Linked DNA regions of Rattus norvegicus. The protein of the gene in region 1 interacts with the protein of each later gene in a pairwise test. Links are inferred from orthologs where the notes say so. Each region holds a gene or a part of one and is shown on either strand. Other genes may lie near its edges.

The links.
Region 2: the proteins of Creb3 (region 1) and Fam3a interact in a two-hybrid assay, tested with the Homo sapiens proteins (2 studies listed by BioGRID and IntAct). The two-hybrid records come from large-scale screens. The link is inferred for Rattus norvegicus from reciprocal best matches to the Homo sapiens genes CREB3 and FAM3A.
Region 3: the proteins of Creb3 (region 1) and Fxyd3 interact in a two-hybrid assay, tested with the Homo sapiens proteins (2 studies listed by BioGRID and IntAct). The two-hybrid records come from large-scale screens. The link is inferred for Rattus norvegicus from reciprocal best matches to the Homo sapiens genes CREB3 and FXYD3.

Annotation. Positions count from the first base shown.
Region 1 is NC_086023.1:62,616,652-62,619,581, forward strand, and holds the end of Creb3 (cyclic AMP-responsive element-binding protein 3), read left to right. Parts: intron 1-81; coding exon 82-150; intron 151-747; coding exon 748-832; intron 833-918; coding exon 919-1,003; intron 1,004-1,078; coding exon 1,079-1,401; 3' UTR 1,402-1,831; coding exon of another isoform or gene 1,832-2,068; 3' UTR 2,069-2,368; downstream 2,369-2,930. Other genes in the region: Gba2 (non-lysosomal glucosylceramidase), read right to left, coding at 1,832-2,068, 2,419-2,610, 2,694-2,809, 2,889-2,930. UniProt on the Homo sapiens protein: Endoplasmic reticulum (ER)-bound sequence-specific transcription factor that directly binds DNA and activates transcription. Plays a role in the unfolded protein response (UPR), promoting cell survival versus ER stress-induced apoptotic cell death.
Region 2 is NC_086039.1:157,323,754-157,327,993, reverse strand, and holds the start of Fam3a (protein FAM3A), read left to right. Parts: upstream 1-1,381; 5' UTR 1,382-1,714; exon of another isoform or gene 1,715-1,892; 5' UTR 1,893-1,952; coding exon 1,953-1,965; intron 1,966-3,527; exon of another isoform or gene 3,528-3,529; coding exon 3,530-3,643; intron 3,644-4,123; coding exon 4,124-4,147; intron 4,148-4,240. UniProt on the Homo sapiens protein: May act as a defensin against invading fungal microorganisms.
Region 3 is NC_086019.1:95,436,844-95,440,941, reverse strand, and holds the start of Fxyd3 (FXYD domain-containing ion transport regulator 3 precursor), read left to right. Parts: upstream 1-1,239; 5' UTR 1,240-1,256; intron 1,257-4,098. UniProt on the Homo sapiens protein: Associates with and regulates the activity of the sodium/potassium-transporting ATPase (NKA) which transports Na(+) out of the cell and K(+) into the cell.

The DNA of each region.
Region 1 (2,930 bases):
AAGCTAGAAACCTAAGGTTTCGAAGGGAGGACACACAATATTTGGATATCCATGTGTCCTTGTATCCATGTTGTCCTCCAGGGTCTTGAAATACACAGCCCAGAATCAGGAGCTTCAGAACAAGGTGCAGCATCTGGAGGAACAGAATCTGTAAGTGGCCATTTGAAGCCATTCATGTTTTTAATGCTTTTTTACTCTTTCCCCTGGTCCACGCGACTTCTAAATGCAGACATCAGAGTGATGGAGAATAAACTTAAAGGTAGCTAAGGAGCAGTAAGTACCAAGTTAAAGAAGTAAGAAAAGGCTGAATGCAGGTCATCAACATCAGAGCGGTTGCAGTCATGGGCATGGGACTCGGAGAAGACACATATTGTGCTTGGCTGGACACTAGCTCTGGGGGGTTGGCCCAGGGGTAGAGAACACAGTGCTGGGTGAGGCATGCAGAGTTTAAGGCATTAGAGAGCTTAAAATAAGAAAACTCTGGCTTTTAAGTGCTGGACACTTGTCCTGTGGAGATGTCCACACAGGAGGTGGAGTTTGTTTAAGTCAGGGCAGAGAAGTTTTACTTTTTGTCTCACTAAGGGATCACAGGCATTTGTGCACAATAAAGTCATTTGGGGAAAAAGGAGCAAGGAAGCGGAGGCTGGGTCCACAGCACCAGTGGAGAGGGTGGCTTAAACAGGAGGGTTTCACTGTGACTTGGACACTAGGCCGGAGCATGCCCACCAGTTTCCTCTCTTCTCTTAGGTCCCTTCTAGATCAGCTGAGGAAACTTCAGGCCATGGTGACTGAGATAGCAAACAAAACCAGCAGTGGCAGCACTTGCGTTCTGGTGAGGAGGGGGACAAGAGACACTTTCCTTGGCAGGGCTGGGGTGTATGACCCAGAGCCCATCACCTCCCTTTCCCTGTGTTCTAGGTCCTCCTGCTGTCCTTCTGCCTTCTTCTGGTACCTGCTATGTACTCCTCTGATGTGAGGGGGAGTGTGCCCGCTGAGTATGTTGGTAAGAGGCTTGAGGCGTGGGCTGTGGTAGAGGGCTTCTTCTGTGTTGTCTCCTGACAAGTCTCTTTCTCTTCAGTGTTGCACCGCAAGCTTCGTGCCCTGCCCAGCGAGGACCAGCATCAGCCGAAGCTGTCTGCCCTACAGCCAGAGCTACCAATGGGCAGCACAAACCAGTTGGAGAGCTCAGAACATACATTCCTGGCCCCCAGCAATGTTTCCTGCCTGAACCACATGGCTCAAACAGAGCAACCCCCGCACTGGCCACTCCTTGATCTTTCTTCAGAGATGCCCTTCTCAGGCTCCGACCTTCTCCTGCAAGCAAATCTTACAGAAAGTGGAGGATGGCTCTCTACCCACAGCCCTTCTTCGATCATCTTACAGGGCAGGTATTCAGGTTAGGTGTGAGGATATGGGGTGTCCTCAGCCCAAGGACTCCTGTCTGTATTCACATAAAAAGGAGTAGGGGAGAGCCAGCCTTTGCTCACGGGCCTGTTAGGATGCCCAGGAACTCACCACACTAACTAGTTGTATGAGCATTTTATTTATACCCATGTGTATCTGTTGTCCCATGAATAGATTTGGAGAAATTTACTGGCCTTGAATACTTCATCCACAGAAGGAATGGGAAGGATAAGAAATAAATAAGTGGTTCCTCAGCCCCTTCTTACTGGCACAGCGGGGTAGGAAGAGGAGGGGCATGATTGTCCTATTGGCTCAGGGCTGCAGGACTTGTGGGAAGAGGCAGGGAAGCCCCGTGCGGAGGCTGGGCCTCCACAGCTCAGTGGGATCGCTCTGGACGTAGGTTTACAGTGATCTCTTTGGTCCGCATTCAGGCTGTGCTGGGTGCTGTGCCTTGTGTGACTGCTGGCCGGCTGCTGTTCTTTTTATGCTGCTGCTGTTGAAGGGCCAGCTGCATGGCCCAGATGCTCAGGGGCCGCATGTAGGCCAGGGAGCGGAACACTCGCTGCTGGCAGTATGCCTCTGGGGTCTGGAAAGCCAGGCCCAGGCGTTCCCATACAGTGCGGTAACAGCCTTCAGCTGTCCGGAAACCTTCCCAAGTCAGGCCCTGTAGGGAGAGGTAGAAGCCACACATAATAGCTAGTTCTCAGCACAATTTCCTTAGCAGATAAGGCAGTAAGCTGTTTGCCCTAAAGGCAAGAACTTAAAAGGCAAGAGGTGGAAGGCATATCCGGGAAGAGGGAGCTCTGTGGATGGGTAAGATGGCATTAGGTGGGGTTGGGGATTTAGCTCAGCGGTAGAGCACTTGCCTAGCAAGCGCAAGGCCCTGGGTTCGGTCCCCAGCTCCGGAGGGGGGGGGGGGAGATGGCATTAGGTGTTCTTGGAATAAACTGAATGGCTGAGGAAGTCTTCTGGACTAAGGTACAATGGTGAGGGGATGGGAAGAGAGTACATTACCTCTTGGATCATGGTGGCTGCCAGCCCATAGACCACGCCCACCCAAACTTCATCAGACTGCACACTGGACCTATCAGGGACACCATGAGGCTGCATCCCATTCACAGCCCCCATGGCTCCTCCTGCGAAGGCTTGGACATTGAGCTCAAAGATGGTTTTGAGAGCACGGACAACATGCAGGGTAGGGAATACCTGGAGGAACGGCAAAGGCGGAGTCAGACTTGCCTCCCACCTCCAGGGAAACCCACACTTCTCTGGGTCTTCTACTCGCTCACTTCAGTGTCTCCTTCTCCCAGGCCGCAGGCCCTCAGGAACCACTGCCCAGCACACTGGTCAGACATGACGCTGCGGGACTGTGGCTGGGAGCTGCTGTCGTAGTTGTAATAGCGTCCTGGAATAGAGAGGGAGCAGAGTAAAGTTGCTGTATCCTGAGGTTGGGTTTTAAGATGCCCCAGGTTGCTTTTACTCACCGTTCCAGAGCAATCTCTCATAAGCTTCCCGGCCTCGGCAGA
Region 2 (4,240 bases), on another chromosome or scaffold:
TTACAGTGATCCACCTTCCTCTGCCTGTCTGCAGGGCTCCTAGACTATTCTTAGCCTAGGATCCATGTGAAGCAGGCTTCAGTAGCACCTGCCCATAATCCCAGAATTCCTATAGGAAGATCAGAAACAGATTGGAAGCTTTTTACGCCACCTAGGGAGCCATACACACAATAAAAAAGACCCTGTCTTAAACAGGGTGGAGGGTTAGGACCAATACCTGGAGTTGTCCTTTGATCTCCACACATGTGTCCTGGTACACACATGCCTACACTCAACATACATGAACAAAGACACATATCTACATACACACATATCACACATAGGGTAAAAAGAATTAGGACATTATAGCTACAACTAAAGTCCTGCTGGGCATGTTGTCATACATTTAATTTCAAGACTTGGCATGTAGAAGCAGGAGGACCAGCAGTTATATGTAATATATATATATATATATATATATATATATATGTTACATATGTATATGTAAAAATCTATACATACAGGAATAGGTACTGGTAATAGCTACACAACACTGTGAATATAATTTATACCATTTAATTGTATTTTTTTGAGACAGGGTTTTTCTATGTAGTCCTGGCTGTCCTAGAACTCACTCTGTAGACCAGGCTGCCTCAAACTCACAGAGATCCACCTGCCTCAGCCTCCAGAGTGCGGGGTTAAAGGCGTATACCACCACTCAGCAGCTGCCTGAGAGATAGATGGATCCAGCTAAAAAGGACTAGTCCAGCTGCCCTGACACTGTAGGTGGTCGGGGCAAAAAGCTCAAACATGAGGGTTGAAAGCAATGTTCCAAACATTCCCTCACTGAGTGATACATAAAACAGAACACTCTCAGGAAAGAACACTAAGCAGAAAAAAGCAACCATAGGTTCAGGTTTATCTCCACATGTGCTTCTGAACCTTCCATGTTCTTAAAGAACATATGTCAACCTTAAGTCATTATCTATGTCCCCAGATCCATCCTCTTATGAGCCATGAAAGCTTTGATATCAAGTCACAATCGGAACTTCAGCTCATCGAACGTAGAAATAGAAGATCTCTCACCCAAGAGTGTGTGTGGAGGAAGTGGAAATGGGGGTTCTGGTGGTTTAAGCCAGTAATTCCAACATTCGAGAGACTGAAGCAGGAGAATTGCTCCAAGTTTGAGGACAGCCTGGGTTACACAGAGTTCTAAGCAAACATGAACTATAAAATGTATAGTGCCTTAAAGTCTACAAGTAGATTTTATTTTGCAACAATGACTCCGGCTCTTTGTAGGAAGGTAGGCGGTTCAGCTTTAGCACAAGAGGTGTGCACAGCCACACTCGGTACCTCCTACCCAGCCTCTGGAGAAGAGGGAGGAGACGAGCCTGGAGGTGGAGCCTGCGTGAGGACCTGCGGACCCACAGCGCAGCCTATGGGCCCATGGCAGAGCGACGCCTGTGGGTAGTGGCGTTCTGCGGGCGGCCATTGTCTTGCCTGCTAAGCTTTCCTACGTGACTCATTTGCTTCACCTAACCGGCAGAGCGAGACCACTGGGGAACTCCCTGATCGGTCTGCGTCTCCCTACACCCAGGCAACATCCTTGGCCTGACCATTCTCTGCCACCAGCCTCGAGAGGAGCGACCTGAGCCCCGGGCCTAGCACTGGAGGGACCCGGGTCGAGGAGGACCATTGCTACGTTCCATTCCTGGAGACTTCTAATAGCCAGACTGTGAGGTGGGACAGATTTCTAAGGCTCTCCTGGCCAGACAGGGCTTCTCCCAGCGCTCATGAGGAACTGAGCCCGGACTGGTGTTTGGAAGAACAAGTCATAGCACCGATCTCGTCCAGCACAGACTTGCCCCTGCCCCCACTCCCAAACCTACTCTCTCCTGTTTCGTTCCTCCAAGAACCCACAGTTCACAAACAGTGCACCTGCCGGAGGTCCCAACCCAGCGGGAGAAGTGGACATGAGGTTGGCAGGTGGGTGGCTTCCACAGCAAACTGAAGAGAGTTCAGGTGTCCTAGTGTCTGTGTTAGGAGGGGACTGGGTGATCACTGGTTTGTTTATTTATTAATGGATGACTGTGCAAACTCATTTTCTTTCACCTCTGAGGACTAAAGCTTCCCAAACTATTAAGTTAAGGATTGATTTTTATATATCACAAATAACAGACCAGCTGCCTTTTGGAAAATTAATTGTGAGAAATATGCTCCAGGGAGCCTAGTGGCTGGATAGAAAGGAGTGGAGAGTAGACAAAGAGAGGCATGGCCTTAGAAGAGAACTGACTTAGGTGCCTGTGAGGTTGGGTGCGATCTGAGTGGCAGCTCTGCTGTCAGCTGGACTACTAATATGAATGTTCCTTGGAGGGACTGTTTGGGGTAAGAGTAGAATTTGAGAACTGGTAAGATAGCAGCTTTGTGGATAAGTCCAAATTGGACATTAAGGAACTGGCTGGAAGGGTATGGGTTCGAAGACTGGAGGTGTGGGTGTCATTGTTGCATGGTGAAATCTCCCACATAGTATGAAGATGGGAGAAGGCAGTCTGGAAAATAACACCTTTTGAGGAGAGAGTAATGGAACACAATCTAACCAACAAAGAGGAAGTCCCAGATGATGGGGTCAGGAGACGGTAGTGTCCTGGAATCTATAGTGAAGTGTTTGCATCAGGAGGGCTTGGACAGCCCACTGAGAGGTCCAGAAAGAGCATATAGACAATCAGAAATGTGACATCATGAAAGACATAGGTGGTCTGGTTTGGAAGGTCATTTAGTTGGTGTTGTGGGAGCAAGGCTAGATTAGAAGATTTTTTGGGGAGAGAATTGGGGAGTGAGGTGATAGAAATCACAATGTAAATTACTTTTATGTGTATGCTGGGGGATGGAAGCCAGGGTCTTATTCATGCTGGGCAAATGCTCTGCCACAGAGCTATCCCAAGCCAGAATATAAATTTTTAAAGACTTTGGTGAAAAGTGGAAGATGAAGAGTCAGTGAATGATATTTTTCTTGCAGGAGCTCTGTTTCATCTTTATCTTACTAAGTTAGGACCTGTTGATAATATGAGAGAAAGTAAGATAGAAAGTAGTCTTAGCACAATATATCTGAGACAGGAGAGAACTTGATGGATCTTGAAACAGGTAGAAGGACTGGTCTTCACCAGGAGTATAGAGCTTCCATTAGAACAAGAGGACAGGCAAAGCAGATGGGTGAACAACTAAATATACTGATAGTTTCAGAGGCAAGATGCTGAGGTTGTTGCTATGGAACCTGCCCAGAACATGAGTTCTAAAAGGCCCCTCCAAACCTGCAGGGGAGACCCAAATAGAGCAGCCTCAATGTTTGGACTCACTTTCTTTCCTCTACTAGGAGGAAGTTCAAATCTCTCTCTTGGGTCTGGTGGGTAGCAATTAGCCCCCCACCTTCCAATCCTACCATCACCTGTTCCCAAGTAGAAGGAGAGATCTGGTCATGTGAAGTAGTGGGTTATTGCAGGGTTTGTTCCCTGATGTCTGAGATAGTCCTGCTTTGTGTCTATCCTGCCTGCAGGCCCCCTGCGCATCGTGGCCCTAATCATCGTTATGGGTCTCACCTGGATCCTAGTCACCATCCTCCTAGGTGGTCCTGGTGTTGGCCTTCCTCGAATTCAGCAATTCTTCACCAGTGAGTGTGGGGACCCTCTTGATTCACTATAGAGGTTATGGTGGTTGGGTTTTCCATTCCCTTCTTGGCAGGCTTCATTGCTGCCCTAGGCCTATCTTCTAACACAAATGCAGCCTTGTTCCTACAAACCATCCTAGAGAACATCCCTAATTGCAATCAATATTGAGTGGAAGTTGATAGAGTAGGAGTAAGGAGTAGAAAGGCCTCCATTGAATATTGATCATCTTGGACTTTCGGTTGGGCTCTGAGACACACAAGGGATTCTATACCTTGTCACTGGTGCCAAGTCACATAAGCACTGTTTACAATTCCAGTTCATTCTTTTCCTGGAGCAGGCAGTTTTACATCAGGGCATCATTGAGACTTGAGCAGGGAAAATGCCAAATATAGCCTGACTTGAACCCGAGTCCCTGAGCCTAGTTACTCTGCTGTAGACTCCTGGAGGCCTCTATGCTAACAGAAAAAACTCTCTACCTACAGGCCCAGAGAACTCAGTGACTGCAGGTAAGTCTCCTGTCCCTTCCCTCTTCCCTCCTGTGCCTGCATTTCATACTGCCTTTTGTTGCCAGCCAGACCCACTAGGATTTCCATTCTCTA
Region 3 (4,098 bases), on another chromosome or scaffold:
GGAAGTAGGGAGTCCTTTTCCTTGCCCCGCAGACCCTTGACCCTAAGTTCCCTTAAACTCTTCTCTCCACACCCACAATAGCAGCCTCTCCCAAGCCTGGTGTCTCCACCCTACCGCCTTCACCATAGTGTTGGGGGTCGTCTGGAGTCCAGCTGGTGGCCGAATAGAAGCCACCCCTTTCCTGGCCCTGCCCCTCCCGGTGACCCCAATCCTCTGCCAGACACTCAATGGTGCCTTGTTCTCTATCCAGACCCCAGACAAAAGTCCTTCTGTGTGAGGAGGCAGAATTTGGGGGGAGGGGGCACCTCCAACAGGGACCATGTGGGAGCCTGTACAGACCCCAGGCGGAAGGAGTGCCATTTGGAGGGGGACAAGGAAGGGAGGGGGCTTGAGGAGTACAGGGGGCTCATCTGCAGTGGAGGAGGGCAATTTTGACATCCACACCCACACCCACTGGGTAGGTCGAGCATCCACCCTTCAGCTTCTCATCCCTGGGAGGGACATAGAAAGCCAGTTCAGCTTTCAGTCTCCAGGGGCCTGGACTACGAACCCCAAGAACCAGAAACCCCCACTTCTACCGACCACTTGAGTGTTTCCTATTACAACTTTGGTCATACCAAACCTCCTGCCAACAAGGGATGCAGGATGGAAAGTGGGCTTTAGTTCCCTATAAATGCCACCAGGCCCATCCCCAAACAACCACAACTGGTGCTCTGTGTCTTTAATCCCAGCCTGGGGAGACAGAGATGGGTGGAAATCAGTAAGATCAAGTCCAGGCTGGTCTACAATGTGAGCTCCTAGGCCAGCCAGAGCTGCGTAGTGGCACCTTGTCTCAAAGAAAAGGCCACACCCCTACCTCTGCTTATCAGAGAAGTGTTACATGGATGCTCCAAGCTTTCTCCCACATCACTCCAGAAAGAGGGCCTGTCCTTAAGGACCCCAGAATCGTCCCCATTCCAGGTCTCCTTTGATGTTCAGGAGACCAGATATACCGTCTTCCCTCCTTTAAGATGCCAATCTCCAGCCCGCCCTGATTCCCCTTTCACTTCACCTGAGGCTACTACAGCTGGAGACCGGGTTGAACTGTCTCTTTAAGGGAGGAATGGAGTGGGGGCGTCCCTCGCCTCAGGGAGACCTGACTTGTGCCTGCCTGCCCAGGTTTGCTCAGGGCGTGGCGGTGTGGATAAAGGCTGCCCTGGCTTGGGAGTCCATACTCTGCTTTCTCCCGGAACCTCGAAGCCTGTTGAGCTACTCAGGTGAGCAGCCCTGGGGTCTCCTTCACCCAGAGCCCTGGGGGTCCCTTTGCCTCTGCTCCCCAACTCTCCCTGACTCTCTTCTGACTGTACCTGCTACACAGAAACTGGAGTTAAAGACCCCTAAAACCTTCCAGCTTACAGATTCTTTGATGGGGATGGGAGAACTACCCTCCCCGTCAGCTGATTGTCCCTAATGGCTCACCTCTGTGAGACTGGACTAGACAACTGGAGTGACCCACCCAGTGGAATCAGGAAACCCTGGGGACAGGTCTGAGAAGTCTGGGTTTACCTGAGACATCTGAACAGAGTGGGGGTGCCGGGGTGGACAGGAAGTGATTATACCATAATATCATGATTGAGGGTTTCTCAGGGGGTGAGAGTAGGGACGGTATCTAGGGGTAATTGAGTACATGAACAGTAATTTAAATGCACTGGGGGAGGAAACAGATGGAGGTGTGTTGGGTGGCCAGTTATTGGGGCACACGGAGAATAAATGAGCACCAGGAGAGAGAAGATGTCTGCTCTAGGAAAGTGGGACTTGGTTAGGAGATGGGGACTCAGATAACAAGGGTGTATGCATCGTACCCCTGCAGACATGACCATCCACCGTCCTGGAGGAGGGGAGGACACAGAGGGCAGGAGACAGCAACTGCCCTCTGCCTAGCGCAGGCAGGAAGTGCATGAGGCTGCTTAATGTCCCAGGCAAGGCTGGTTCCCTCTGCGTTGCCTCCCACTATGGTTCACTCAGAAGCAGGCAGGCTCTCTTCAGAGCACAGCACCAGCAGGGTAGGACAGTGAGGAGAGAGGGCTGTTTCCGGCCCCCCTCCCAGCCCTAGGGATGACAGGGTCCAGACGGCAGAGGAAGGAAGGAAGGGCTGCAGATGAACCATCTGTCTTCCCCTGCCCTTGTCCAGGTTCCCAAATTTTGGAAGGTTTTGTGGTAATGTGGTCCTTTGGAGGCCTTGGAGGAGTCTGGAGGGAGAAGTGTAGAGGTGAGACCCAGCAGCCATGCTGACAGAGCATGCAGCATTAGGATGAATTGCCAGGTGAGGGCCGTGTGGGATAAGGACAGTACGAGGGAGTCGGCTCCGATTGAGAAAAATGGCTGCACAGGTGGGGCACTCAGCAGGAGCCCTCTGTCAAGGCTGGTGTTTTATATGCATGGGTGACAGAATCAGGAGGCAGCCAGCCTCAGAGCACAGAAATCCATAGCCTGTGCCCCTAACCACCACTTGAGTTCTCCAAAGCTTGCTGGGGCCCCAGACATCTGAGAAATAGTTCCCAAATCAATGACAAGAAATATGTCTAATTTAAACTAATGGGTCCAGGGTGTGCACACATGGGTGCATTCGTGTGTGTGTGTGTGTGTGTATGTGTGTGTGTGTGTGTGTGACAGAGAGAGAGAGAGAGAGAGAGAGAGAGAGAGAGAGAGAGAGAGAGAGAGAGTGTGTGTGTTCAGGGCCTGAAGAGCAGGCTAAGCAAGACTCCATCGCTAGTCCCTCACTGGGGGATTCTAGGCAGGGGCTCTACCACTGAGCCACGCCCCCAGCCCCTTACTGGGGGATTCTAAGCAGGGGCTCTACCACTGAGCTGCATCTCCTTTTTTTTTTTTTTAAACTTTTTCTTTTGTGACAATATCTCACTAAATTGTTCAGTCTGGCCTTGCACTTAGCCTGTATCCCAGGTTGACTTTGAAGTAGAATTTCTTCTGCCTCAGCTTCCCTAGTAGCTTGAGTTAAGCCTGCACTGATTTAGATTAATGAAGAAGCTGAAGGATTTCTCAGCCTCTGGGATCTGCCCCAGGGAAATGGAGGTGTCTGTGTGAGCATGTGGAACTCCCCTGCACCATAGGTGGCTGGTGGCTCCATTTTCCCTTCTAAGTGTGTGCTTTGGTATGAGTGAAAAGGGTTAGTTCTGAAGGGTGACCTTGGGGTTGCTGGGGATTAAAGAGAGGAGTCACTATAAAGTCACTGGACAGTGTCCAGCAAATGGGCAGTGGGGACAAGTGTTAGGATTTGCCACTCAGGCTCCATGAAGGAACAGATCCTGTGTGCCATGTTCCTGGCAGTGATAGTAGGCTTACTGTGAACAGATTTTTCCTTGAAGAGAGGAGGTAGAACAGTGTTTTGCTATGTCCAGGCTGACCTTGAATTTGCCATCCCCCTGCCTCAGCTCTCCAAGGGCTAGGAGATTAAGAGTGTGTGTGTGTGTGTGTGTGTGTGTGTGTGTGTGTGTGTACACGAACTGGCACATGCATGTGCCCATGAGCTCAGGACAGTTGAGTGAGGCAAGCACGGGAGGTCCACAGACAGCAGGACTTTTACTACAGCCCTCCAGGGTGATGGAAAGACAGCAGGTCGCGGCTCAGGCTGTATGGAAAGGGGCTCTATGTGGAGTGAGCCTCGCTGGGGAACCTGTAGTGTTTGCTGCCAGCAGGGCTGGGATGGGGAGTGAGCACAGGCTGAGCAGGGTGAGGGCTGTGGTGTGGGGGCAAAGACTGGACATGAGCTGGGACTCAGAGAATGCTCAGTGGGGCATGCAGAGAGCTCTCAGTGGGACTGCAGAGAGGGCTCAGTGGGGTCTCAAGGGACAGACCCAGGGGTAGGACAGAAGATGGAGATAAGGCCACATCCAGGACTCTCTGTATCTATCCCATCAGCCTGACACTATTTCCCTGTTACACGCACCCGCACCCAGCAGCCCAGGGAGTCAGCTCAGGCCTCAGCTAGAAGCCTGCAGTGTGTGGGCAGAGCCGGGCAGGCTCCAAGCTGTCTGTGGGAGCCACTCCCAGAACCCGGGCCTCTTGCCACCTGGCTCCTGGCACCCTCTTCCCCAAAACACC